Caenorhabditis elegans: one gene and its partners. The protein of the gene in region 1 interacts with the protein of each later gene in a pairwise test. Each region holds a gene or a part of one and is shown in the gene's direction. Other genes may lie near its edges.

Region 1 (8,369 bases):
GAAAGAAATGGACGACCGTTCGAGTATGCTATTATCAATTGCTTCTTCTGAAAAATAATACTTTCAGAGAAAAATAATGCACCTTTCACTTGCACATCGAGAAATCGGCGAAGAGCATAACAGTCAGTGTATGCTTCAAGTGGAATCGGTTATTGCTCCAAATGCACCAAAGGCTCGGAGATTGGTAAAGGCTAGGATGGCTTATGATGATAATAGGTTGGTTTTTGACTCGATTATAATTTATTTTTAAATTTTCAAAATCTTTCAGACCGCCTGGTGACCCTAAATATGATGGATTGGATCCCTTCTTGGAAAGTGATAATCCCGAAGATGATGAATATACTTATGACACTTGACGTTGTTAATTTTCATGAAAAATCCTAATAAACGGGTAAATTCTGATGATTTTTTCCCTGATTTCAATTGATCCCTTACAATCGTATAAATCGAGCCACTAAATTTTTGTATCTGTTCTCATGAATTTTTTTTTGAAAAACAAACTTATCAAATAGATGTTATTGCGTCGTCTCGGGCAAAACCTGATCCTAAATCAGAGAAGATTTTCCAGTGAGATGGCATACTCGGAAAAACGATTGATTGGGTAAGTAATTTGAAGTATTTAGACGTCGAAAATTATTTAAATTTTTAGATTTTCCCGGGACGAAATGTTTAAAGTCGTGTCTGATGTATCCGATTATCACAATTTTGTTCCATGGTGTCGGTCGTCTACAGTAACCCACGAGCACGAAAGCTCACAGATTGCGACGCTGGAAATTGGGTTTCCACCACTTTCAGAGAAATATTCGAGTCGTGTGATTCACATTAAGCCATCTGTTGTTCATGTTAGTTTATTCAAAGATTTCTAAGAAGGTTTCGGTTTTCGATATTCTATGTGTTTACAGTCTGTCGTCATAGAAAATGATAATCTCTTCCGCACACTTGACACTACGTTCCGGTTTGGAAAAGTTCGTTCCATCAATTTTTGTTAAACCTCTATTAACGTTCACCTTTTTCAGGGAAAACCATCTGTTGAACGCTCATGTACTCTTCACTATGACTTAGTTTTTGAATTCGAGTCAGCTTTTCACTCAAGAATCGCTCATCTTTTCTTCGATAAAGTCGTAAAAACTATGGTTTCAGCATTTTTGCACCGCGCTGAAAAGCTTTATGGACCACCGGAATTCCCACACTCACCACCGCAGGTTTTACAGTACAAATCTTGATTTTTTTAAACTTAGTGACACTGTAATCAGAGTATTTATTTGTAAATTTTAAATTTTTTTTTCTTGCTTCTTAAATAAAAATGTAGATTCAAACTTTTATGTTCTAATTGAATAAAAACTAGCCGTTTCAGCATCGGTATCCTTATTTTTCACTATTTTTCTCAATATTTTTCTGCGGTAGCGAAACACCGATGTCCCGTTTTCTTCGCAAAATTTCGAATCATTGGGCTTCGCTTCTTCGCTCTTGTCCCGTTCTTCTTTCGTTTGCATCTTTTTTTCAACTCTCACTTTCAAATTAATATGGATTAAAACTCGTTTCGATTAAAATCTTGAAGCGAGTTCATCCGAATTTGTACAAATAATTGTATTGAACATTTAAAGACACATTCCTTATCTAAAAGCGACGTACCATGCTTTTTGAAGTCAATTAATTTTTCGGGAATTGCTCTTTAATATAATTTCTCATACTTAAAAAAATTCCTCACTATCAGAACAAGTAAAAACCTCCTGGCTCCCGTCAGCCGTTTCACAGCAAGAATCAATTGCTGGCAGCTACGAAAATGTTCTCTGCGCCTCTTCACACTCACCCGGTCGCTGCGAGACCCGCGCAAAATCGATTGACACGCCTCTACCACGCGCTTTTGTCTCTCTTGCCTGTTTTCTGTCTCTTTCGTTCATTTCTCCCAGTTTTCTTCAAATATAACGCCGTTTCTTTGCAATTTTCTCTATATGTGCTTTTGCTAACTGATTTTGTCATCTTATTTTAATTAAAATTACTTGCTAATACACATAATTCTTGTACATGTTCCCCTCCATCATCTCCTTTTACCAATTTCCTTCATTCCATCCACAATCTCTCTCTCTCTCTGTTTTTACCTCCTCGTTTCTTGTTGCGTTTATTGATCCATTTTTTCACGTCACTAATCAATATTTTCCAGATACGCCGGACTCGACTCGAAAGACAGCGCGCAGACTGTTTGGTGCGAGAAGAGGCGGACCTCAGACGGTGTGCAGTCACCCTTTAAAAAATATACATTCCCTTCCCATTCCCCTATCCCCCTTCCTTTTATGATTTTGTCCTCATTTTCTCTAAAAAATAATAAAAATATATGGAAAGTCACTTTGTCAGCTAGACTTTGGGTTTCTTGACTACTCTTCAGTTGCGATTAGCATAATATTCGCGCTTGTTGTATCAAGCTGTTGGCTCGCCTGCGCGTTTGGAGCATCACAACTTCCTGTATGTTCGTGCGGAAGTTTTGAAGCTGCCCGCCGTTATTTAGTTTTTGCTCGGGACGGTGCTATAATCTCGTTGACTTCTCCCGTTGTATTTTTCACGCAGTTTTTATTTTTCAAAAATAATTAATTTCAGCACGTGAAAACGAATATCCGGGTTATTTTATTCACCTTCGTAAATATCACAATCAATATTCATGATGGAATCGGTCGAATCGGCAGCACGAGACTATCGTGAGACGTTGGCCGAATTGAGAAACAACAACAAGACTCAAATAAATCTGCTAACTATTCTGGCTGACGACTTCAAAAAAGCAGCTCCACAAATTGTTGAAGTTATTGAGCGGCATCTGACAACGTGTTCTCCTTCACAAAAACTGTTAGTGATGTACGTGTGTGATTCGATTTTGAAGAACGTTAAGAAGCCGAACGATTATGATGCACTGTTTGCAAGGAAAATCGTAAGCATGTTCGAGCATGCTTTCCGACAGGTAATATATCAAAATTAAAAAACATCGGTCTGTCTAATCTAAGCCTTCCATGAGGGTGAGTTTTTACCCTCCCTACCCTACCCTCTGCCCTACCCTACCCTACCCTATGCCCTGGTTTTACCCTGTATTAATTCATTTTTAACGTTTTCTTAGAAATTTCATTTCTAAAAACGAAAATTTTACAAATAAAGCGAATAATGCTTAAAATTCGTATTATTACGTGAAGGCATAGGGTAATGTGTCCATAAAATACCCTGTTCGGGTAAAGGGTAAAAAAGGGTATCAACGTGCCCTACCTTTTTTTTACCCTCACGGAAGGCTTAGTCTAATCTAGCAAAGCACGCAAAAATGCAATCCAACAACGTTTCGCCAGCTTTCATTGCGGTAGTTAACAGATTTTTCGCGCGCCTTTTTGGATCTAGAAGATAAGGTCAAAACTTTCTCAGCTACAGACCGGGTCTTGTCGCGATTGAGTACCGTAGTTTTCCACAAAATGTCCTGAGAAGTTAAAACGTTTTGTTTCCAATTTCGGTGTAAAACTTTTTCCTGCTACTTCGCACGACATTTTAGCGCGTATAGCTGAGAAATTTAAATGAAGTTTCGCAAAAAATATCTACAAAGTATGTCACGTTAATTTCGCTTGCAATTATTTTTCGAAATCATTTTGAATTCTAAACATTTCAGGGAGATGAAAGAATCCGTACATCGTTGTACAGGATACGAGTCACATGGGCCAGCACCACATTGTTCATGCCTTCAAAGTTATATGAGCTTGACATGAAGGTAAACTTTCAATTTCAGATCCTGAAATCGAGCTACGATTTCGCAATATCATTGCTAATGATATTAATATTTGTATTTCAGATCAATAAGCTTGACCCAAATTGGCCAATTTCAAATCCACAGACTGGTCGTGCACTTCGTGATGATCCACAAGTTATGGCTCCTTCTCAGAGTAGACCAGCAGGCAATGCCACCAGTCCAGCGGCTTCCACGTCAACGAATCGTGTATTTGTGAACCCAAAGTTCATAGGTTCATCCACACCTGGTGCAGCATCAGCATCAAAGACGGTCGTGGAAAAAACGGTAAAATATTCTTGTGAACTTTTATTTTCACACGTTTTTCAATGTATCACTTTCTATGTTTTGTCTTTATTTTTCCACATATCATCTGATCGTTTATTTATTATGAAAAAAAAAGAAATGCTTTATCTATCATTTTTCACCGGAATCATGGAAGTTGAGAAAATAAGCGACAGAATTGGCAAAAAACACAATATTCTTCGTCACTGTTCAAATAAATTATTTCCAATTGGGTGGGATATTTGTTGAAACCGCTTATGTTATTACAGAAATCACCTGGCACAGTAAACAAGGAAAAGCAAGTGAAGAAAGAACCAAAACAGGATCCACTGTAAGTTTAATGTCTTAGGCGTGTCTTGGTGTTACAATTTGGTATGTAATGAGAAGAATCGATGTTTTAATTTTGAAAAAAAGTAATTCAGAAACAAAATGAATGAAAAAAAAAATAAAATAAATCTGTGTGAAAGTGTAACATTGAATAAAATTTCACAGTAATTTTGTCATGATCAGCTAGTCCGAAATAACACGCTTAAAAGATTAGTTTTATTTCAGTTAACAAAACATTTTTTCCAGTGACAAACTACTTCCATCAAGCTCTGCATCCAAGACATCATCATCACCGGCTGGATTGAAGCGAAAATCAGCACCATCCGAGCATCCAAATGCTCCGATTCGCAAGAAGCCACAACAACCACCAAAGCCACAGACAGCCATTGATGAGGATCTCAGATCTATAAGCTTGACGAAGAAGCCGCCAGTTCCATCAGCACAAGATCAAGATTTCCGACCAAAGACTTTGAAGTGAGTATTTAGTCTAAACTGTTTTAAAAATCGAAAATTTTGCAGGCCAACATCAGTGATAGGATCTCACGCATTTGCCCCTGTAGCTGCTCCGATCCGTCCTATGATACCTGTGCCACCACCTGTTTCAGTGGCTCCATTTGTGCCTGCTCCGCCACTTTCGTCTGCTCCTCCATTCCAACATCCTCAACAACATCATCCACAACTTCCACCTCCACCAGTTCATCAAGGAATGGGAAGAGGATATCATCATAATTCGCCTCCACAAGATCCGGCACCAATCGTTCCAGTTCAAGCTCCACCTCCACAGCAACACCTTCCAGCTCCAGAGAACGTTTACTCGTCAGAACAACCGAAACTCGATGTTCCAGCCAACAACCGTATCTTTGTCGATGGAAAAGCTTATGAAGTGATGTTTGTCGATGATACTGCAGTTATCGAGCGTGGTGGTGCTCCACATCGTATTTATTTCGCTGGACCGCCAAGAAACCTCGTAATTGATGGAATCCCACACTTGCTTCAGTTTGACACTCCAACTCAAATTGACATATTAGGATCAAAGCATATGGTCAAGTTCGGAGCACCATCCCGCGAACTTTACATTGGTGGTCACCCATTCAAAGGTAAATACACATATTTTCACAGTTTTTAATTCATATTCGAACTTTCAGGTCAATTTGGAGGACCACCGATCATTGCAACGATCAATGGACGTCGTCATGAGATCCGATTGACTGGAAGTGCTCCAGAAGTTCGCATTGAGCCTGAGCCAGCATATCATCTTACTCATTTCTTGCACAAAATGCGCGAGGAGAAGAAGATTGAAATTGCATCGGAGAAGCCGGAGAAGAAGGAGGATTGGCTCTCATATCTGAAAAATTTGAGAACTCGTAATATATTGCCAGCTCCGGCCAGATCGCCATCTTCGCCACGCAACCAGACTCCACCACCAGCTAATCTTCCAATTCCGGGAATGAATAATGCTGGACAGGTAATTAACTATCAGGATTACAGTCTCTTAAATAATTTATTGTTTTCAGAGAGGAGGTTATCATAACCGTCATCAACCACAACAGAACGCTAGATGGGGTGGAGCGAATAAACAGCAGAATATACCACCACCACCATCTGATCCATCTCCAATTGGAAGTGGTGTTGAGAAGCGAAGTGCTCCACCGGCGGCCATCACAGATTTCAATATTCGTCTCTTGCAAATTCGTTACGACTCGGTCGTTGACGCGTTGATTACCAAGAGAGCCGACGCTTGCAAGTTTTGTGGAATGAGATTAGATGATTCTCAAGGAAAGTCAAAAGAATGGCAAGATCATATGGATTGGCATGTGAAGCAAAATTTGGCACGCCACGGGTCGAACAATTCGGCAGCTGTACCATATCGTCAGTGGTATCCATCGACATCCACTTGGCTTACACCACGTGCATCTGATGAAACGAATGAGCAAGAAGCTGATAAACCCGAGGAACCACTTCCAGGAGTAGCATCTTCCGGTGTTAAAACCAAAGAATGTTCAGTTTGTGGTGAGAAGTTTGACGAGTATTATGATGATGACGAGGAAACGTGGCGATTAAGGGACACAGTTAATGTTCACGGAAAGGTGAAAATTTGTTATTCAAAACTCGTGAATTTATCAAGATTCATTACAGATTGTGCATTCTGCGTGTGCTTCCGACGCAGCTCGATCACTCGACAACTCATCATTCTTCAACGACAGTGACATCAAAAAAGAGGAGCCGTTCGACTGAACATAATTGTTTTTTTATTGAGCCTTTTTGATGGGCATTGTCTAGTCATTGAAAATATTAACAGAAATTATAAAATTCACCAAAAAATTCATTAAAGCATTTTTCCATATGCTTTAAAATTTTCAAGCATACCAAAGTTTTCCTGTTTTCTTGTTTCGTTATGGGTTTTTTAGTTTTCATTTAGCTTACACCCCCCCCCCCCCCCCCCCCCCCCCAACGTCCCAGACAATTTCAACAAATCTTGGTTGTGATTCCGTTTCAAAACCTCACCTATACATTTTCTATAAATAAAGCAAATTATTTTTAAAAATACCTTTTATATATATTTTTCCTTTTCCACCCTCCAATTTATCACATTGAAAATAAAAATCATAAAACCCCCGTTTTTCAGAGTCGACGACTTCAATAATTTTTATTTGCTTTTTTAAAATTATTTTTTCGTTTTGTTTTTTTGGTCGAATAAATCTATTAAAATGGGAAATATAATTGTTTTTGTTCACATAACGAGAATTTCAGAGATGTAGGTTCTGGTCAATTCCGTAAATCACTGACACTCCAAAGTTATGAAATGCCGCAAAGACTACTGTAGGCAGTATCAATTGAATCAATTGTTAGAAACCTGTTTCGAGAAGTTTTGGAATATTCGTATTTCAACATTTTATTGGCTCTAAATTGTTCAAAAATCTCAAATTTTGGAAAGTTTGGTAAGTTGCCAAAATGACTAGATACTTTTAAATATCTAACACGTTTTGGAGTTTGCTACGATATTCGGGTTTTTTGGATAATTATATTCATAAGTAAAAAATCGGATAAATGCTGTCAAAGTTGAAATAAACTATCCGAGGCTTTATCAAAAAATCAATTGTTTTCAGAAATTCTGTGCATTTATTCAACTTTTTGTTCTCTGATTCCAATCTTCAATCTTCATTAAATACAACTTCATACAAATTTTTCTTCTTCACATCAAACACCGTTTGGTCCGTTTCCTTTCGTCGCTTGGAGACCTACATGGCAACATTGACTCCACGTGTATGTAGAAGAAGGGTCCCATTCTCCACGCTTTACTACACTCTATACTGAATTTTCCATTTATTTTCTTGTCCTTTTCATTTTAAAAACATTTTTCCGTTCGGATTTGTTTACAAATTTTGTTCTCTCTGATAGAAGTATTCAATTATTATACTTTTAATCTGTAAATTAAAAAAAAAAACTAAATCCTTTTCTCATATCACGGGAACAATAAATCATGAGAATGCGTACTTGGTGCATTTTATTTGACGCGCGATATCTCTTATCGAAAACTACAGTAAGAGCTTAAATATCTATTGTTATTTGAGTTCTTACTGTAGTTTTCGCTAAGAGATATCGCGCGTCAAATAAAATGCACCAAGTACACATTCTCATGATTTATTGTTCCCGTAATACCAACCAATTATTGCGACGCAATACCTTCATATACATTTTTTAATTTTAAAAATTTTTTTTAAAATATAGTTGAGATCCTTGTTGTAGTACGGTAGTAGTACGAAGATATTCCAATGTTTCTTTAAAAAAATTTTCCAACCAAATTTAGTTCTAAATTTATTAGTTGAACTTTTCAGAATAATGGGAAAGGGTGACTCCATAATCGTAGCAGTTCGGGTTCGACCTTTCAATGATCGAGAAAAGACAAGAAATTGCAAATTGGTAATTGAAATGCCAGATGAGGAAACAACAGTTATTCGAGATCCTAAAACAAACGATGAAAAACGATTTACATATGATCATTCATATTGGT
Region 2 (6,394 bases), on another chromosome or scaffold:
AGCACCTGTACGGAAACGATTTGATTCTTTTGAGAACGAGGAAAAGGGAGTGTGAACTTGTACATTTGCATGTCGTACTACTACATTTCCTTTCACTCTCTAAATCTCTCGTCTCTTCTACTATAAATCCCTTGAGGGTTATGCAGAAAGACCAATCCCCCCTCTCACTCGAAACCTCTCTTTTACACAATCGGCGTGGGCTGTTTACTTTTCATTAGTATCAACAACAGTGTTTCAGTTTTCGGTTCTTTTGAACTTTTATTTTGATTTGGAGAATATTTAGTGCAAGCACGTGGTGTCAGGTTGCCCCATTACAATTTGATCTACGAAAAATGCGGGTAATTTTTTCCCAAAAAATGTGACGTCAGCACGTTTATATCCATGTAAAATCAGTTGAAAAGACAGCGTCTAAATTCCCGCAATTCTTGTAGATCAAACCGAGATGGGACATCCTGACGCCACGTGGGCAAGCTTATTAAGCTAAATTTGCTTTTTGAAAATTTTTAGAATTTTTCGTTTTTTTAAGAAAAAAATTTGACATTTCTTTAGACATTTGTCTAAAGAAATTATGATACAATTTTTAGTTAAAAAACCCGATTAATTTCCAAAAAAAATTCCAGAAAAGTATAATCCCTCTAGAAATCGATAAAGTAGTCAAATATCTGAAATTGTCTTCTTTCGGAGCTAGCTTGAATATTTTTGTCAAAACCTCAAAACTTTTCAGAAAAATTTACACAATATTTTCGTACCTATAGAATTTCCAGGAACACCTAGCAGAATTTTTTAAAGTTATTTTGATCAACTAATAATTCAAAAAAAAGTTCAAAAACCGGAAAGTGTTCGAAATCATTCAAGAATGTGTGTTGTGTATCTGTGATTGTGCAAATAGTCTTTTGTTACGCTCGTTTGAAAGTTCAAATATTTGATTCTGTGTGGGAGGTCACGGGAGCACAACACCTTTTAAAATAGTAGCTAGAAAACTAGTTTTAAAACTTCTAAACTTTAAAAAAATCTGAAAAGTTCTAGTTTTGACCTTTTTCAAATACCAACCAATTTCACTTTGTCATGGCTTTTCCGTATGTGTCACCCTTCCCCTCGGAACAATATTACTCTCGACTAGCAAGCTGTTCATCAATCAAATTTCATGAGTTATGAGCGTAGATGCCATTCTGCGCTTTGTAAATACGTAAAATTCAAGGGTTAGCTTTTTATGCGATTTATACTTTTTTGAAAGTTTTGAAAGTCTGAAAATTTAGCAAAAATTCAAAAAGAAGGATATGCTTAAAGCCCTAAGAATTTTTCGTTTTAACCTTGAGGATTGGTCGAAATTTAATGAAGGTCGAAGAGAAGTCTGAAATTTTGGAATTAGATACTTAGATACTGGAGACGAGCCTAAGCATAGTCCTGAGCCTAAGAATAAGCCTAAGCCTGAGCCTTTAGACTTTCTTGTGAAGCCTGAATCTAACTAGTAACCCTCCTAATAAGCATGAACTCTGAGGTAGAAGTGGTGCTCTTGAAGCATAAAAAAACAAAAAAACTCAAGTGCAATATTGCAATATCCATTTCGTAGTCCTCTCGAATGTCACTCACCCATCAACATTGTGCTCGCGGTCAGTAAATGCAAATTGCAATCCTTGCCTCCCGTATGTTTTTCACACATTTTCCTTATCCATCTGCGTCTCCTCGTCTCCCGATTCTCGCGCATTGACCACCACTGACCATGGTCTCGCAGGAGAAAAGGCGCTTCCTGTCGTGTGTTCTGCTCATTGTGCAGCACTTTTGAAGATTTTGCAAAATGCATATTTACTAGGAGAAGCTTTGTATAAAAATTTCACTTACCATTTAACCTCACTTCAGAAAAAGAAATGTAATTGACCCCCATTTTTCAAGGTTTCTTTGTTGTTAGAGTCTATTGTACTAACTTTTTTTATTCTTTTAAGTACTTCACACATTTCTTTGGCAAATTGGAAAAATGTTGAAAAGGGGGTCTGTATTAAGTGCTGGTCTGGAAGTAGCCATTACATAGCTGAAGCAAAGTAGCCGAGACGGCTAGGTCGACAGACTAGTTCTGTTCTTTCTGAATAAGCTTTTAAGAAATATTTTTATAGTTTGCTTCTAATTGTAATGGCGCTCGGCAGGCACTAGGCATGCACTAGGCAGACACTAGGCAGGCAGAAGGTAGGTTCTAGGCAGACATTAGGCTGGCACTAGGAAAGCACTCTGTAGGTCGTAGATAGGAAGTGCCAAATAGGCACTAGGCAGGTGCTAGGCAGACACTAGGCAGGCACTAGGTAGGCATTAGGTAGGCCCTAGGCAGACACAATGTAGGCAACCCCTCCTCGGCTTATCATTCCCAAAAGCTCTTGAAAAGGAAGATGTTTTTTTCATCATGAAAATTTTTTCCGCGATTTTTTGGGGAAGTGTGTATGTGGTGCGCAGTATAAACATTCGCCCCAATCATCATCAATATTATTGTGCTCTTTTTCCCACTTGCTCTCTCGGGGGGCTCCACTCACACATTCAAATGTTGAATCAAGCGATTAACCCATCGAGAGTTGTTGCATGCATCTCCTCTGTTTTCTTTTCCTCTTTTTCTCGCTTTTTTTGAAAAAAAAACTCTATTTTTAGATTAATAAAACATAATCAAATAAATATATGAAATTTACAGTGTCTGGGGGTAATCTGAGCCAAAATCTAATGTCCAATGCACCATCAACGACGACATCAGAAGCCCAGAAGATCGCGACAACGACGACGACGACGAAAATGCGATTGCCCAGTGTTAAGGAACTTGCCAAGAGGTAAGACAGCATTTTTTATAGGATTTTGTAGAGTGTAGAGATATTTTAAGGTTACTGTAGAAGTGGTACTATAAGGTTTTTGGGGTACAGTACTGCAGGGTAGTAGGGTATAGTAGGGACACTGTGGGGGTACTGTAGGAGTACGGTAGGAATACTGTAGGGTACTGTAGGAGTGATATAGAGGTATTGTAGAAATACTGTAGGGTGGACTACTTCAGGGGTACTGTAGGTACTGTAGGAGTACTGTAGGGGCAGTGGGAGGCTTTCACAGATGTAGTGCCGGTAAGGGCACTGTAGAGGAACTGTAGGAGTACTGCAGAAGTGTTGTAGGAACCTGTTCGACTATTTTAGGAGTACTGCATAGGTACTGAAGGGACAAAATGAGGCTTTTACTGTAATAACATCTGTAGTACCAGTTTAGGGTACTGTAGAGGAACAAATTGGAGTACTGTATAGGTATTGTAGGAGGATAACTGTATGGGTACTGTATGAGTACTCTAGGATAACTGTAGGGGTACTGTAGGAGTACTGTAGCTTTTTCCCACTTTGTACGTGTCATCGTTGCTTATTTTCAGCCAAACTTTTACCAAACATTTATTTTTGAAAAACTGTCCCCGCCTGCTTGTTGACACATAGATTCTATCCATTTTTTCAAAAAATATTTATTTAAGTTTAATTTTGGCAGCTCATATCTAAGTTGTCATAGTTTTTTATCAAAAAGTTCTTAACTGAGAAAATCTTGGTTTTAAATTTTCCAATAGTTTTGCAATTGACCAATTTTGGATATTTTTGAATTTCACCGGAATATACATAAGCTGCCAAAGTGTAGAACACAAAATTTTCATACCAATAGAATAACCAGCTAGAAAATTAACTTTTCTCTTGTCCTATGCTTCTTCGTTTAAAAAAAAAGTTTTTTGTTTATATGTCTGCAATTCAATTTCTGTATGATTGTCAAACAAATACTACTTTTCCTCCTCCTTCACACACTCACTCCAACACAGTTGTTCTCCAGCCAACAATAGCAGCACATTACCCTTCGGTTGATTGACATAATATATTGAAACCGGACAGGAAGAAAAACGGTTGAAGAAGTAAAGAGAGACCGAGGGCGTCGTCATTTCTTCCAGAAGCTTCTTCGTGGGAAAATTGTTGGAGTTTTAGAGATGGTTCGGAGAAGTTTGGCAACTTTTTATGAAGTTTTACTCTAATATCAGCTCAACTTTGAAAGCTTAAAAAAGCATTAAAAATGTTCAGAATCTTTTGGAAACTTTCTCCAACTTTCACCCAAACTTCAACTTTAGGATGTATATTATTTGGAATTTACCATCTCCTAGCTTTAGCGCCTGCCTGCCTAGGAACCTACCTACCGCATCCCTCTCTTCATTAGTACATCTCTGAAGAATTTCCAAAATGTGTATGTCTCCCCGCTCCCCCTGCCTTATCACCATCATTTTATTATTATTGTTATCAAATATTCCCACCACGCCTCATCACTGACCACTCCTTTTTACGATATGGTCATTTGGAGAGATTGTTAAACAATTTTTGAGTTTGCCGAAACGTTTCGTTTTTTGTAGTATTATAGAATGTAAAATTTAAAAAAAATTGCGCCAACCAATCAGCGACGTTAGCCACGCCTATTAGAATACGCTGATTAGTCGGCGACTTGTTGAATTTGCAATTTTAAAATTGATCTTCCAAAAGCTATTTCCGATTTCCAGATTCGAAACCAGCACAAGCCGAATTGAGCACCACAAACCGGTGATCTCCAAACGAATCGGCAAGTTCCGGGTAGTGGAAAACCTTCACGAGTAAGTAATTTTCCTCTTCAGTTTTGCTCTTAATTTGCTTGTTTTTCAGGCCGTGCACATCACGAGTGCTACGTGGAAGCGCCATACCGCGACGGAAAAGTTCGTTGAAACGACGAACGCGGAGCAACTCGGAGCTCGCCGTCCTGGTCACATCTTCTGAATTTCGGAAGAGCAAATCCACTGGCGACTTTTCACCGACGGGTGCCGGAGCATCGGGTGCTCCAATTGTGATAACACCGCTACCTGCACCTAGATTACGGTAGGTGAAATGAGGGGTACTGTAGGAGTACTGTATGACAACTTGAGGGGTATTGTGGATTACTGTAGAAGAACTGTGGGGGTACAGTAGGGCTACTGTAGGGTATTGTGGGATACTGTAGATTAATGTAAGATTACATCGTGGGTACTATAGGAATACTGTAGGTATTCTGTAGGGGTACTGTAGTAGTACTGTAGGGGTACAGTAAGGTTACTGTAGGGTATTGTGGAATGCTGTAGGAGTGATGTGGGGTACTGTAGGGGTAATTTTAAAAAATAATGTTTTTAATCAAAGTTTTAAAGTTGTTCTGAAAATTTTCAGTCTAAAACTTTATTTTAAATAATTTAGTTTGAAATACTATACAAAAATTGAACTTTTGGCAATTTTGAAGCTTTATAAATTTTACAACAATAATCTTTTACAACAATATCTTCAAATAAAATTTCAAAAAATTCAAATTTAAAAATTTCAATTCAATTTCTCTTCAAAACATTTCAGTTTCCAAAACCTTCCGGCTTTCAAAATCTTGATTAAAGTTTTGAAAAGTTACTTTTTTTACTTCAATAGAATACAATTTTATAAAAATACAAAACAGACAAATTTTTAAATAGTTCTTTATAAATAAAGCAAAATTTCAATGAAACCACTTCGAAAAACCATTAAAAATTTCAAACAAAAAACTAATTTCTAAAAAAAACTTTTTTTTTCAATTCCACCCACAGTGACTCATTTTTCGAATGTTTCAAGGTTCTCTATGATTCACGAATCAGAAATGTAAATAAGAATCCCTTTCTATTTCAGTCTTCAAACAACAAGCATGATTGTTGAAAGTTCCCCTTCTCCATCTTTCCATTCCAAAAAAGATGGTCACCCAGTGTACGAGGAGCGGTGTCGAGTGTCCTTAACAATTCCAATTTCTTCGTCAGAAGATCTTTCCGCTGTATCTCCACCACCACCTCTACCATCTGTACCTCCGTCTAAGGAGAGGATCAAGAGGATTCCTTCCTACCTGAAGCCTACTCCCGCGCCGAGGTCTATGTCTGCCACGCTGCCCAGGGCTCGTCTGAAGACCCCACCACCTCCACCCCCAGTTACCAATCAATTTGACACCCTGCCGGTCAGTTTCCGGAGCAGCTCAACATCCTCCAGCACAGGAGGTCTCCCGAGAATCCCGAATATCCCCGTCCCAGATGTCCCTTTTATTCCACTGGATGACGACAACTGTTACGATGAAATTATGCTGGTCACGCCATCATCAAACACATGTATACCTACACATCAACGTCTAGAATCCGAGTACACCTATGAATCTCAGTCTACCGACTTTTCAAGGCCGGAGCCTCCTAGAGCCTCCGGGTCAGAGCCCAATTCAAGCAGACGGGCTTATCCTCGGGATGAGGAAATCTTTGATGAAGCTGAAGAGGAGCTTCTGGAAGAACAAAGATTTCAAAAAGTGCCGGAAATCAAAGAGCGCTTCCTTTCCTCAACTCTCCAAAGGAATCCAAAATCCTCGAAAAGGA
Region 3 (8,326 bases), on another chromosome or scaffold:
CAACTTCCCAATTTTTTTCAAAAATGTTTGCGCGGGGAATCGTGCGCGTTGTACGCAGACATCACGACGTCATATTGCGGACCCGTTTGCAATGAAGCACCAGCCAGCTGACATTGCGGTGAACGCCTTTTGTTCGATGATGTCACCGTTTTCTCTCGTTTTTTTTTGTTTATTTTGGTATCTTAAAAATTACATTAACAGCAACAGAAATAGCTATTTTAATGACGTATCTGTGTACCTTTCTGCTTTAATATTATGATTTTCGAGAAATATGAGCATTTTAAAGTTTAATTAGATTCTGAAGTCCTGATGTTTTGAAGTTCCTCATTCTAGAATGCATTCTGGTAGTTCTAAATTAACGGAAAGCATGAGTTTTAGATTTTGAGCGGTTTTTTTCTTTTAATTCCCTGCTTTCCCAATTTTTTTCAAATATCCGCAAAAATATTCCACATTTCTATTTACTATCACATGATCCTACTACTAATTACTTTTAAATCGAATCATCTAGACTTCCTCAACTTCATCTGACTCATCTTCAAATGTAAAGTTCCTCGGCGTCTTTCGCAATGTTCTGAATGTTGTCGATTTCCTCGCGTAACCTCTGCTATCTGTTAACGGGTGTCTTCTTATCAGTTTCACTTTTTCTTATTTTTTTAGTTGTCAATCTCTTGCTAGTAGTTCCCTGATTTTTGAAGAAAAAAGCTCGTCCCAGAAATCTTGCAGAGCTGGAAAATCATTAAAATCCATATTCCTTCTTTGGAAGCGGTCATTTTCAAAACTTGTATATCGATTATATCTTCAAATTTTAATTTTTTAAAATCATTTTACCCAGTTGTAAACAAGTTTTTCATGAACAAATAAAAAACAGCATGAAAAGCATAATCTTGGTAGACATAAGGGTTAGAATTTTGCCTAAAATTATAAAAATGGACCGAATAAATTCAATAATGTAAAAAAAATGAACAAACATTTCTCAAGTTTTCAGTTTTCCATAAAAAATTATAAATTTATGTAAAATTATCGATTTTTAGACCAATTTTGAAGATTTTCTTTCGGGTTATCAAGTTTTCTTTACGAGAAAATGTCATAAATTTTTTTGCAAAATTGAAAAATCATTGGTTTTTTTTCTTGAAATTTAGAATAATTTTATAAATTTTTAAACACTTTTTTAAAATTCGACCATTATGCTCCATTTTCTAGCATTTTAAGCAACCCCGTCTTTAAAAAGCTGCATTTAAATTATATTTAGCTTTAAAACTCTTTTTATGCTAGGAAAGTGAAATTTCGTTAATCATTATCCAACAAATGCTCTCTGTCGGGATAAAATTTAACTTTTCCAATTGTTTTCCAGATTTTTCCAAGTAGCAACCCTTGAGTGTGCCCAATCATTATGCCTATCCACACACACAAACATTAAGTAGTGGGTAGGCTAGAGTCTTTCATGCACAAGCAAATATACACCGATTCGTCTTTTTTCCCTCTATCTGCCACATAGATAAAAGAAAGAATAACCTTCTCCTCCCCCACAACACCACCACCACTAACGGCGTCTTCTTCGTCTCAGTTTTCTTTGCTTTACGTAATCTACGTCTTCTATTTTTTCGGGGTGCTCTCTTCGGTTGGAACTATGTGTGAGAGTAGTGTGTTTCGTGTGTCTGTGTGAGTTTTTCCTCATCTTTCTCTCTCTTTTCGCGCGGAAAGAGGGCGCCCGAGGTCGGAGAAAAAAAATGAAAGGCAGAGAGGATGGAGGACACAGAGGAACGAAACGAAAATAACTGAATCGATACATCTGTGGGGTTGGCGGTGTTGAAGAGAAGAAGACGAAGAAGAAGATGAGGGGGTGGAGCTCTCCGTGCACAACGGCTTCTCCTCCCCCATCTTTCTCTCCCGTGCTTCTCCTTTTACTAGAGTCCGGCGTTGTGTTGTGTGTGTGTGTCCCCGCCTTTTTCCGGAATACGAAAGTAGGTCTAGTTAATGGTTAACTACCTCTCTTGCTCCGAAGCAGGCTTTTTCTTTAATTGCTTCTTGCAACTTTTCTGAAGCTCTACCTTTCTACTGGGAACTTGTTTTCTTTGAAATTTAGAGTTTTTAAAACTTCCTTCAGTTCTCATTCTCATGCTTTATAACCATAAAAGTGTACATCAGAATAAATCCTAGATCATAAGATCATTCACATTAGCATTTCTTTTTGGAATGCTTTTTCCGAGAAAACTGCACTTTTGAGGATTTTATCTTCGAACTGAAAATTCGAGTTGTACTTTTGAAAAAGTTTGTAGCGATCTACCTGATGTCAGTTTTATTTTAGATTTCCTGCACAGTTTCTTTCATGAATTTATAATGTTCAACCTTTAGTTCTCTCAGTTTTAAGGTTTAATGCAAAGTTTTACATACAGCCTGAGGGTCTGTGGATTTTTTTGTTTTAATTGATAGAAAATACCAGATTATACCTATGAAAAATAGTTTTTAAATTTCAAAATTTGATGAAAAATCCGAAAAAAGTGCCAAATTTTGCTTATAATCGAAATTTTTCTAGAAAACCGACCAAAATATACAATAAAGATAAATATTTTGATTAAAAAAAACTGTATTCCAACTGCTGAAACAAGGGTGGAAATTATTTTTACACTTTTTAATTTATTATTACAAAATCATTAGAATTTATAATTTTTCAACAGTTTTATCTGATCTTTAAGTGGTATTTTCTTTCATTTAAAATAAAAAATCCACAGGCGAAACTCCAAGAATTCAAGAAGCTCATTTTATCGAAACTTTCAAATCTTGCTCACCGTGATTCCCAAGTGTTTTAAATCTAAAGGAAAATAAGTCTGGTTTTTGAATATTTATTTTCAGTTGTTTTAATTATCAATTAATTAACATGTTATTCCGAATCTAAAACTCAAAATTTTCAGAAAAATGTCGTTGTCGGGGTTACGTAAGCAATTCAACAAGGCGAATCAATACCTTTCGGAGACGATGGGCGCCGCAGAGCCAACAAAACTTGACGATGTGTTCAATGAAATGGAGAAAAATGTGGATACAACGTATAATTTAATTACGGATCTCGTCGCCGGAACAAATGAATATCTTCAACCAAATCCAGCTACTCGAGCAAAAATGGCCACACAAGTTGCCCTGTCAAAAGTTCGTGGAACTACAAAAACGTCACCGTATCCACAAACAGAAGGAATGTTGGCTGACGTCATGCAGAAATATGGACAACAATTGGGTGATAACAGCGATTTGGGAAAGGTTTGCCATCCCTTTTGGAATTTTAATTTCTGAAAAAAAACCCATTTTTTAGCAACATTTGTCAATATTTGTTCTGTGAGCAATTTCTGAAAATGTGACCAAAATACAGCAAAAATAAAATTACTATTTATTTTGTTTATATTAATAATTTAATTGAAACATTAGGTTGATATTAGAAAACCACTACTTCGGTATTTTTTAGATTAAAATTTTTTGCACGGCTTCAAAATCTTCTTAATCATAATTTTAAATTACAATTTTTTTCAATTCCAGAGCCTAAACGATGCTGCAGAAACGTATCGACAAATGGCTGATATCAAGTATCAAATGGAGGATAATGTTAAACAAAACTTTCTCGATCCATTAACACATTTGCAGAATAATGAGCTGAAAGATGTGAATGTAAGCTTTTTTGCGTAAAAAAGGGTTTATTATTAATTCATTATTCAGCACCACCGCACAAAACTGAAAGGACGTCGACTTGACTACGACTGCAAAAAGCGTCAGCAACGACGTGATGATGAGATGATTCAGGCGGAGGAGAAGCTGGAAGAATCAAAGCGACTCGCTGAAATGTCAATGTTCAATGTGCTTAGTAATGATGTGAGTTTTACGATTTTTTTTTGGAAGTTTTTACTATTTTCCCCTATTAGACTTGCTATTTGACATCGGTTACCCTTAGTTTTATTTTTAAGAAGGATTATTCTCAAACTTACGAATATAACAAAAGAAAAACGGGAAAAATCCGTTAAGATTTCGAATTTTTATGTCAGAAAAATCAACGAAAAACCTTCAAAATTTAACTAGCGAAATCATAGGCCACGAGGATTGTTCGAATTTTGATCCTGTTCTATACTATGTTTTTAATCAGTATTTTATACAATTCCTTTCAATATAAGCTGTCAAAGTTTAATTTTTTTTTAATCTGCTGAAATTTTTTTCCACTTCCCCTTTTAGATATAATCACAAAAAAATTCTTTTCAGGTCGAGCAAATATCTCAACTACGAGCCCTCATTGAAGCCCAACTCGATTTCCACCGACAAACAGCCCAATGTCTCGAAAATCTACAGCAACAACTTGGCCATCGAATCAAAGATGCAGCTGCCAGGCCTCGTGAAGAGCATGTTCCATTATCAGTTCTTGCAAATGAGAGCAGAACTCCAAGATCCAGGTTGGTATAAGCATGAAGAGTGAGAAAATGCATGTTTGTTGTGAGATTTTGAACGCTCAAAAAGACCTAGTTTTTAAAAAACAGCTAATTTCTTGAGATGCACTTTTGAGATTCAGCTGAAATCTCCAATTTCGCCAACATTTTATTGAAATGGAGCTGCCCCAAAAAGCTGAATAAACTACCAAAAAAAATGTTGAATATTGGAGGATTAATTGAAATTTCGGGCCGCTGTGGCACGGAAAAATTGGCAAAATTGAAGTTTTTTAAAGCTAAATTTAGATTTTTGTTTTCTTCTCAAAACTTTGAAACGCCATGAAAATTGTACGAGAAGTTAGAATAGAATTAGTTATTTTTAAGAAATTTTGAATTTTGAGTACAGAGATTATTTCATAAATCTACCTGAAAATTAGTTTTTTCAAAAGATACGAAAAAATATATAAAGCCGGAACTAGGCGTTTTCCATTTTTGTTTTCGATTTAAAAAGGTCCCACGCATCATAAAAAGAGAAAACCCCCTGTGCTCTTAAGAAACGGAAAAAGCACTGAAGCATCATTCACAAGTAATAAAAAGGAGGAAAACATATGAAGCACAGACATAGACATGCAGAGTCTATGATTGATTACATCGCATTATGTCTTTTTACGGCCGGAGGAATACTTTTTTGGAAGGAATATGAATGTAAAAAGATCGTTTAATGACTGATTGACACGAAAATATTGAAAAATTGAAATGTTTTCGGTGTTTTTTAAGCTAGACTAGTTTAAGTTTTTTTGAAAGTTGAGAAATTTCAAAAAAAATTATTAAAAGAAACAACGTAAATTTTGATTTTTGATTATCTTTGAAAAAACCGAAAAATTGAAAATTATTCTACGACACAACCAAAAAAACATTCTAAATTTAATTTTAAAAAAATAAGAATTAAATTTCGTTACAGTACCCCCCGCTACAGTACTCCCTGATTCATATTGTGATTGATTTTTTATTTTTTGCATGCTAAAAGCCTCTTCCAAAACATCTCTTCAGTTTCAGATCGCCTGCTCCATCGGATATGAGTCACAATTCTACGGCAGCCGCAGCCGTACGTTTTTTTGTTTCAGAAAAAATTGAAAAAAGTGCGACTTTTCAACAAAAAAAACACGAATTTTGGAGATTCAGTTTTTCGGATTTCAATTACTGAAATTTTTTGGAAAATGGTATAATTTTAAAAAAACACTTGTAAAAAGACCGGAAAATGTTTAAAAAATGTTTTTGAAACATTTATTGAAAAATCAAACTTTTCAGATATTTTTCGAGACGAGAAAACTGAAAATTCTTGATTTTTCAGAAAGCCGAAATATTGATCAATTTTCTGGATAAAATTAACCAAATATTTCAATTTTTTAGTTTTTTCTCATAAAAAACATATAATTTTTCTTTAAAAAAACAGAAGTGTCTAAACTTTTAAAGAAATTTTTCGCAAAATCAATTTCTATTCGAACCGACAAAACTAAAAATTTAAAAACGAAAATTCCAGATTTTTCGGTTTTCCGGAAATCCTAAAAATCGGAAAAATATTGGGAAAATTGACAAAAAATTTCAAACTTTTAAAAATTTGGTTGATGAAAAAAAAAAGTCAATTTTCTTCTTAAAACGGGTAAATTTTCTCGAAAAAAAACTACAAATTAAAAAAAACCAATTTTCTAAAGTCGAATTTTTTGTTTGTTGAAAATAAGTTACTTTTATAAGAGAATTGTGTATTTTCCCATCAGCATAAAAAATTTGAAGATTGAATTTTTTAAATCAATTTTCTAAATCGAAACTATTCGTTTTTCAATTTTTATTTTAAAAAATCGAAAAAGCGATACCCTTGATTAGAATATTTTGTTTTTGAATAAAAACCTAGTAATTCAATTTTCAATCCAATTTCTAATATTATGTCCAGTTTAAGATGCCACCACAAAATGGAGGAGGAATAACACAAGCACCACCATCATATCAAGGACCTCCACCAGGTGGACTTCCACCTCCACTCTCCCAGCAGCAGAAGCCACAATGCAGAGCTCTATTCGATTTTGATGCTCAAAGTGAAGGAGAACTGGATTTCAAAGAAGGAACACTGATTGAGTTGGTATCACAAATTGATGAGAATTGGTACGAAGGACGTGTGAATGGAAAAACTGGATTATTCCCTGTTACCTATGTACAGGTTCTAGTGCCTCTTAAATAAAAAAAAATGTATTTCTCCCTCCAAAACCCAGTCAATTCTTTCCATTTTTTGCTGTTTTATTGCCAATTTCTCGTTTTCTCCCCAACTCCAAAGCCATGCTCCTCATCTTTGTCTCTTGAATTTTATTTCACAAAAATATTTTATTTCCCTTTCCAAATCTCACTTTTTCTCTAGGAACCCCTGAAAAGTACTCATTTAGAAGAGAATGGGCTATGGTCTCTATGAGGCTAAAATAGTTAATTCTCCTGATCCATTGTGCCGAAATCTTTGTATTTATTAAAACACTACTTGCTTTATATACATCCACTACTTTCCCCCAGTCTGCCACACCCGATGCGTTTTCCAATAGCAATACCCTGACCCACATTACCATGTATTCTATGTACTCTCTACACTACCAAAAATGTGCATTTATCAAATCTCCCTTAAAATAGCAGCATGTTATTAGTTTTTTTAGCTTTATTTAGTAACTTATTTTCAACATCAAAAAATTCATTGCAAAATTACTTATTTTCGTAATTACTTATTTTCGAGTATATGAATTTGATTTTAAACTATTTTTTTTTTGAACTCGGAGATGGAAAAAAGTCAAATTTCTTGTCTTATCAATTTTAAAATTGTTTAAAAAAAGAAGTGGATGAACAAGAAAATCAATAAAAAACTGAAATGAAAACGAAATTTCGAAATATCCGGAATATTATATTGTCCACGAGGAGTACTGTAAACAGACACCCAGTTATGTTATTAGTGACGTCATATACTTGCACCATCTGCTCTCATACCTGTGCACCATATATCTCATCGATTTTTTTTTGAACATGAAACGAATGCAACTATCATTTCGTCCATTTTCTTCACTATGGAATTCAAATCGAATTAAAAAAGGTAGAAGTTGTTCCAATCAGAAGAAGGTAAATTAAATTAATTTTTATTTGTTAGATCAAAAACTATAAGTTTCAGAAATGTAACTCTTTCAATCTACTCCAACTACCATACCTAGCATTTCGAATTGTTATTCATCAATTAAGTATTTTTTCAGTGTAAGTTATCCCGTGGTGTCAGACTGTCCCATTATGGTTTGATCTACAAAAAAGGCGGGATTTTTTTGCCCAAAAAATGTGACGTCAGCATTTTTTTAACCATGCGAACCAGCATGGGACAGCCTGACACCACGTGAGTTATTCCAACATTACATATCGTACACCCTTCAATGTTAGTTATAACATAAAATCACATAAAAATTACGGACAAATCGAGCGAGAGTGAGATCAACTACATTAAAAACGTTTTAATTTTAATTTTGGCTGAATTTTTTTTTAGAAAATCGCAGTTTTAATAGTTGTATTTTCAATTCTTTCTCGACGCTCTAGAGTATTTGAACAAAATCCCAATCTACAGTGTTACAAAAGCCAGTCTGAGACAAATACTGCCCAGTTACGGAAATTCGTGATTCTTGACCGGTCTCGGCACGAACGAAATTTGTAGCCACTGTACCCAACAAGAGTTTCGCAATTTGCTTCGCTCTTTTTCTTAAAGGTTTGCCCAAACAATATGGTTGAGCCCCCGTAAAATGCCACGCGATACTGGTAAAATCTCCAAATTATTGCTGGTACGGTAGCTGCTAATTTTTGGTCGTTTCGAGACGCGGTGACGTAGCGCAACTGGATAATAGAGCAAAAAGCAATATTTTTCACAATTA
Region 4 (6,609 bases), on another chromosome or scaffold:
TATAATACATTATAATGACGTTTAGATTTCCAAAATTTAAGGTTATTCAAGCAAAGACTGGTAATCAGTAAATCTTAGGCTTTCTTTTTCGCCCAAAAAGTGACAAAAAGTGAGAAAAAGAACCGATCGTTTTTTTGTTGTAGTGTTTGTTCTTTTTTGTTCAGATGAGTTAATAGTTTTTTTTCAGTTTTATCTAAATACATACGCAATTATATTTGCCGACCTAATCGATATCGATCGCGAATTTAAAACTTTCTCCCTAACGTACCTTCACTGACATCGCGTCGAGACCCTTTGCATATCAATGTGAGTGCGGCTTTAAAACGTGCTACTGTTCCGGCGGCGTGTTGTTCATTTTCTTCTTGTTCTTGTTTTTCTTTTTCTTTTCTCTCATGATTTTTCCCGATTTTTTGTTATTTAGTGGCTTTCAATAATCCCAACTTCTTCAATTTTATAGTTTTTAACGTAAAAATATCAGATTTCAGTCGTTTCCTACTGTGTTTTCTTTATTTCACAGTGAAATTTAAACAATACATCTTTTGAATACTGAAACCAGCTGTTTTCTCAGTTTTTCTTTTCGTCACACTGATCGCTGGAAGACAAACACGAATTGTTCATCACACATTTTTTTTTCTCCCTTTTCGGCGAAAAAACCGAAAGAAAAAGTTTTCCGCACCCTTGTGGGCAAAACGATGAGCTCGCTCGTTTCGCAGGAGAAAAGAGCGCCGAAGGTATTTACTTTTTGGATGTCTAGCTTTCGCTTTCTGTGATAAAGATCTCACCTATAGCGCAATATTTCAATCATTTCCGGCGATCAGTTCAGAAATGACGTATTTTCATATTTCCCTCTCTCCGTCTCTTCTGTCTTCCTAGTCACTCTCTCTCATTAGAATAACGGTCGCTCTCCTCTGACCTTCTTGCCCTCACAACAAACGCACACAAATATCCTTTTCTTTTGCCTGTATTCAACAGAACCGATTATGCTCTGCGTCTCTTCAATCAACTATGTCTCTCATGTGCCTTTTCATTCTGCGTATCTTCTCTCTAATGCACTCCCGTGCTCACCTTTTCCGTCCCTCCATTCCTGTACTCACATCGTTGACACGCCCGAACGGTCGAACGGTCCGTATGAGAAATTGGTTCAGCCAGCTTCCTTCTTTCTACCTTTTTTTTGTTTATTTTGGATAAGGAACTCTGAATTTTAATTTTTACTTAAAATATTTAAACGGCTTTCAATTTACTTTTAAGTTATTGACAAAGAAAAACAATCATTGAGCACATTTCCAATAGAAAGTGCACTCTTCTTGTTCCCACTTCAAACAATTGAAATGTGCGGGAGCAAAAGCTCCAATTCGCTTCTAGTTTTCTCCTTGTAGCGAACAAAACAATGATGTTCTTTTCATTTGGACAAACTTGATTTGTAATTTTATATAATCGATGCAATTAAAAAAAATTTTCTCTACCGCGAACCTATTTTAAAAACTCAAAATAAAATCCTGAATTAAAAGAACCGGAACATTTTTACTTTTTCCTTTTCGTTTCCTGATGACCATTCGAGTTTCGTTAGTGACAAGAGAAAGAATTTGTCGAAATTGAGTTTTCTCCTCTTCCTTCCACTCTTTTGTGCTTGTTCTGCTTCCGAAGCAGCCAATTCTCGACTGAATAGGCCACTTTCGGAATTATTTCAAGTGGACCTCTTCCTTCCTCTATTCATCATGCACTCTTCTACTTCTGCCCCCATTTTCGCTCAATTGTCAACGATTTGATCATCAGAAAAATAATTTTTCGCAACTTCACTTTTTACGGACCATAACTAGCAACCCACATTTACCGGTGTTCTTCTCCTATTTTTGGTCGTTAATCAACCGGTGATCCATTTCAAGGTTGATGTCCCCGATCTCTTTTTCAATGTCTGTGTATCTCTCATTCTACACCGAAAGCCGTTTTGGCATTGTGCCAAGTCTCTTTTTGAAGATATGTGGTACGAGACTGTGAGAAATAAGAAAAGTTTGTTGATAATAAACGAAGCGAATAGAGAGAGGCACAGAGGGACGACCCCAATATCTAAGAGGCCGTGTTTACTTTGGCTCGTCGTCATCTTTCGAACCAACACATGCATACGCTCCCTTGCGCGCGCGCTCCTCTGATCATTCAATCGCAGGTCCTCCTTCTCTTCGTTATTTTTGTTACGGCTCGTTCTTTTTTACGTTTTTAGCATGTGAGGCGTTTTATCAGCAAGTTTGAAGTTTCAGCAAAATTTCATATGTAAGTTATTAACACCTTATCACTGATTAAACGGTATTATTACGAAATGATAATAATTCGTAATTAGATACAGAAAACTATAATAACACGGCTACTTGATAATTTTCATTGTTATGTTTTTGGACTCTCTCCTGATTTTTCTGTTTCAATGGTTCAATTCCTCTTTGATCATTTTTAATGGCGGTGAAATATTATTTTTGTTCTATAATATCTTCAAACCACCGTGTTAATGTGAAAAATTAAAAGAAGTTTGTTTTTATTTTGAAAAATTGAAAATTGTCATAAATTTCACGAAAAAAAACGGTCGAAATTCTCATTTTGGAAATTCAAGCATGGAATTTAGCCAAAATTTAAAAATTCAATTTTTCGTTGTTCTTCGATTTTATTCGTTCTTCTTCTGTGGCATTTCTGAATTTTAGACAATTTTGGATTTTTTAAAGAAAAGTTCAGTATTACGATTCACGTTTGCTCTTTGTCATTTTCTCTCAATCCTTTCAAACAAAATTATACTAATCTTCCCTCCATTTTCAGATCTCAGTTCTCAACGAGATGGTCACGACCAGTAGCGGAGGGGGTATAGGGTACCCGGCAAACAACGGTGTCACACAGGTGAGAATCGAGATTAATTATTTTTCAAATTGTTACAAAAAGGGATTGATCTATTTTTGTAAATCTTATATTCACGTGATTCATGAAGTACGTGAACTGTGACGAAATCATAATTTGTTTAAAAAAAAATCTAAAAATAAAAATTTCAGTGTCGATAAAAATTTTTCAAAAAATATTTAAGGTCTACTGTTAGATTAGCAGATGTTTGACGATTATCCATTTTTCATATTCCAGGTGTCTCTGATTCACTCGTCGGATTCTGTACGAACTGTTTCAACTGCCCCAATATACCGTCCGACGTCATCAATGGCATCTACGATGGCTCATAAATCTTCGACGGCTCCGTTCATCTCCGCAAATCAACGAGTTAGTTTTTTTTGTTTGAAATGAAAAAATGCGGAACAAAATTTTCAAGAAACGGAAATGCTATTAAGATTTTATTAGAAAAAATTGAAAAAGAAAACTCGATAACGGAAATTCTTCATATAATTCAATTGGTTTCTCCCTTCATCTCAACAATCCGTTTGATGGATGATGGCTAGGTTCTGATAATTTGTAGTTTTTTTGCGGGGAGAGTAACGGAATTCTTTGAATTTTTGCATCTCACGCAATTGTATCATCACCTTCCCAAAAAAAGATAGTCAGAAAAGGAGAGAACACCTCAATAGCGTATCTTAGCGTAGAAAAAAGTCATCTAATTTTGATTTGAAGTGTCACGTTTTGTTTTTTTTTTTCTGCCGGGCCATAAGTCAGGTAGGCAGACATCAACGCATCACAATCGCCATAAAATAATGATAAAAATATTATATTTTAAGATAGGTCCTGGTTTGAATTGGTTAAGATTGTCGAAGATCAGAAACGGATAGGAATGCATCAGAGATTATTAGTCTCGCGTGATACCTTCAGATGGATCAAAATGACTTGCTTTTTTTAGTTGATCGAGATTGATTCGGAAAAATTTATACCAATCAAGTAAATTTTTGATGGAAATAAAATCAGTAAATTTTTGATTCAGTTCCAGAATACTCGGAATATGCCTACAAACTGAAATTTCCCAAAAGAAAAATAGAAAAAATTAAGAAAGATCAAAAATTCCAATTTTCAAAAACGCTCTTTTTCAATTTTTTCCCTATTTTAATTTCCTCCAAAAATAAAACTGCGATCAATCAGCATTTCGCTCCGCCCACTTTTTTACCAATCAGACGAAGACGCTGATTGGTTCGAAACTGGGTGTGGCTTCGAGATATGTAAATTCACACTTTTCAAAGTTGGAATTTTTGATCTTTAGTAATTTTTTCTTTTTTCTTTCGTGGTATTTCAGTAAATTGGAATTTTCAGAGTTTTCTAAAAATGTATCCCCATTTTTCGAAATCCTCCTTTAAGATTATCAAAAACATTTTCATAAAATAGTTTAGTCAATATAAAAATTCAAATTCCTGATGATAAATAGTCTTTCCATAGGTTCACGACCACTTTTAGTTTAAAAATTTCTCTTTTTTATCTTTCGGTACCTAATCACCACATATCATTGATAGTAGTGAGTGCTCTTCGTGGATCGGTCAATTGAAAGAAGATGCCAATTGGCGTTCTCCCCTTCTTACTTTTGCCCTCCACGAAATTGAAACAATTTTCTCATCATCTTCATTTTCTTCTTCTCTCGTAACAGAAAGTCTGACCTTTGAAGAGAGACACAGAAAGATAGACGAAGTATTCGTGTGCGTACGCCGTACGCGCCTTGCCGATTAACCTCGATTTATCATTCAAGCTTTCCCCTATATTGGATTCTCCGACTTATTTCTTCATTTTAATTCTCTTCTATTTTTATTTTCTTGACCCACTGGCCAAAAGCTCTTCGTGAATATTAAAAAGTAAAAAAAAGTTCCTCCTCTAGCGTACACGAATATTTTTTGTTGATAATAGACAACAACTGTTTTATTTTTGTTTAATTATTTTATCAAAAAAAATCTGTGGCTGTGAAGGAAAGATCGCCAAAAAAAAACTGGTCAGTCGATTAATTTTCGATTATAAATTTTGTTTTTTTTTTTCACTTTTCACTCACTTCCTTCTCATCGTTGCATAGTCTTGCGCACGTCGGCAACGCGTATTACAACTAAATTAATTGCGCAATTGTGTGAGTGAACGCGTGTGTGAGCGTACGCTTCTCTCGGCTTCTTCTCTTTCAATTCCATCATCTTTCTATGTTGTCGTCGTAGAGTCGCATAAAGTTATAGATGTTATTTTTTTTCTTGTAGTGTAATCGAGACTGTCGTCAAGTCATTATGCATAATGATATGTATTACGTGTTAAGCGTTATTATTCTACAATTGTAAAGTATTTTTTCATCTTCGCGAGGCTGTCGGTGACTGTTCAATGATTGTTGTTGTAGTATTTTATGACAGAAGATACTATTCTATGGTGGCAGCCACTACAAATAATGCCATACTCTTTAAAATATTCTTGAAAAAAAACTGATTAGAAATTTTGAGAATCGCTTCATTTAAGTAAAACATTTTTTTTTGATCGGTCAAAATGGGATACATGTTTGGTTCGCCGAAATTTTTCTTTACTCTCTTCCGGTGTTTAATGTTCATTTCTCTTCCGGTGGCCCGAAAGAGTTCTAAAGCTAAAATGTGACATGTGATATCATCATTTTGAAAACACTTGTTTTTTTTTATCTTCCGTTCGCCAACACGACTTTTTTCTTATTACCACATCTGATCCAATTGAAAGGGAAACCGATTTAAGTAATATAAAAGTCATCTCTTGCATAGGTTTGAAGTGTTGAAGTTTTGACATTTACTTTTTCATTCTGTAACTTTTCGTCGACCAGTTGAATCCTTTTTCTATTCCGTTAAATACATTCAGCTTAGTTTCATGCTTTTCAATACACCAACAACCATCAACACAATCGTTGTCCGAATCGCCTCAGTTTGGTATGCGATTTAATGCGAATTGTCGGTGACTGTCGTAGAAATTAAAATCAAAACAGATTTTCTTCTATTATTTTATGTTTGCTAAATTCCTCAATAGTTTGTTCAAAAGCGTCTTTCGTTTGTTTTGAATTAATTTTTAATTCACTCTTTCTTCTACTTCATTATTAATTTTGTGCGAGAAGTTCGTCAGATCATCATGAGGGCGCATAGACACAACATTTACGACATGTTTCACTTTCGGGATTTTCAATTGAACAGAACACCACCAGCACGAAGACAACGACAACGATCCACACTTTGTTCCAAAATACACGTTCCTTCCCATCGTAGGGCCTCCTGCTGAGCTTTTTATCCTATCAAAGAAGCTTCTTGTCGAAAAGGAGAATATATTTGAAATATTAATCTTTGTTTGAAATTATCAAATTGATAATTTAAATAGGTTCATGTTTCATAGACTAATTCAAATTTCATTCTATTTCTCTTTTTGCCTCATTTTTACTCTGAAACATTACCTAGTGTACAGTTACCAATAACTGATAGACTCTCTAAATCCAATAATTATCTCACGGGCTCTTTCTGATTCAGGGATATTAATTTCTGCACCTGTCAAATTCGTATTCCAAATAGATCCTAGAATTTAACAAATTTAGCCATTTTATATATATAATATTCTTGCTCTTGATCATTAACACTCGATTTCCACTGAAAGATCAGATCATGACGCTCAACTATCTGTGCTTGATTCCCGTACTTCCGATACTTTTCGCAATATAGATCTCGATTTCTCGAGTGCTTCCTATAG

The links.
Region 2: the proteins of pcf-11 (region 1) and ephx-1 interact in a two-hybrid assay, tested with the Caenorhabditis elegans proteins (one large-scale study listed by BioGRID).
Region 3: the proteins of pcf-11 (region 1) and unc-57 interact in a two-hybrid assay, tested with the Caenorhabditis elegans proteins (one large-scale study listed by BioGRID).
Region 4: the proteins of pcf-11 (region 1) and ape-1 interact in a two-hybrid assay, tested with the Caenorhabditis elegans proteins (one large-scale study listed by BioGRID).

Annotation. Positions count from the first base shown.
Region 1 is NC_003281.10:5,022,752-5,031,120, forward strand, and holds pcf-11 (Polyadenylation and cleavage factor homolog 11), read left to right. Parts: upstream 1-2,592; 5' UTR 2,593-2,656; coding exon 2,657-2,947; intron 2,948-3,631; coding exon 3,632-3,730; intron 3,731-3,811; coding exon 3,812-4,033; coding exon of another isoform or gene 4,034-4,279; intron 4,280-4,299; coding exon 4,300-4,361; intron 4,362-4,603; coding exon 4,604-4,831; intron 4,832-4,876; coding exon 4,877-5,454; intron 5,455-5,502; coding exon 5,503-5,822; intron 5,823-5,871; coding exon 5,872-6,444; intron 6,445-6,493; coding exon 6,494-6,592; 3' UTR 6,593-6,896; downstream 6,897-8,369. Other genes in the region: R144.3 (C2H2-type domain-containing protein), read left to right, coding at 1-23, 68-216, 269-356; R144.13 (Coenzyme Q-binding protein COQ10 START domain-containing protein), read left to right, coding at 573-601, 650-842, 903-965, 1,017-1,223; klp-6 (Kinesin-like protein), read left to right, coding at 8,198-8,369.
Region 2 is NC_003280.10:4,002,217-4,008,610, forward strand, and holds the start of ephx-1 (SH2 domain-containing protein), read left to right. Parts: upstream 1-2,697; coding exon 2,698-2,801; intron 2,802-4,525; coding exon 4,526-4,615; intron 4,616-4,664; coding exon 4,665-4,874; intron 4,875-5,675; coding exon 5,676-6,394.
Region 3 is NC_003279.8:4,672,226-4,680,551, forward strand, and holds unc-57 (Endophilin-A homolog), read left to right. Parts: upstream 1-2,909; 5' UTR 2,910-2,913; coding exon 2,914-3,249; intron 3,250-3,522; coding exon 3,523-3,651; intron 3,652-3,699; coding exon 3,700-3,852; intron 3,853-4,233; coding exon 4,234-4,421; intron 4,422-5,444; coding exon 5,445-5,499; intron 5,500-6,342; coding exon 6,343-6,627; 3' UTR 6,628-7,182; downstream 7,183-8,326. Other genes in the region: T04D1.2 (F-box domain-containing protein), read left to right, coding at 7,446-7,538, 7,588-7,667. UniProt on the Caenorhabditis elegans protein: Involved in synaptic vesicle (SV) recycling in neurons probably by regulating clathrin-mediated endocytosis. By controlling SV endocytosis, regulates the rate of excitatory postsynaptic currents (EPSCs) at neuromuscular junctions and thus locomotion.
Region 4 is NC_003283.11:11,673,148-11,679,756, forward strand, and holds the start of ape-1 (Apoptotic enhancer 1 protein), read left to right. Parts: upstream 1-2,790; 5' UTR 2,791-2,814; coding exon 2,815-2,874; intron 2,875-3,108; coding exon 3,109-3,240; intron 3,241-4,847; exon of another isoform or gene 4,848-5,052; intron 5,053-6,565; exon of another isoform or gene 6,566-6,609. UniProt on the Caenorhabditis elegans protein: Negetively regulates apoptosis via its interaction with cep-1.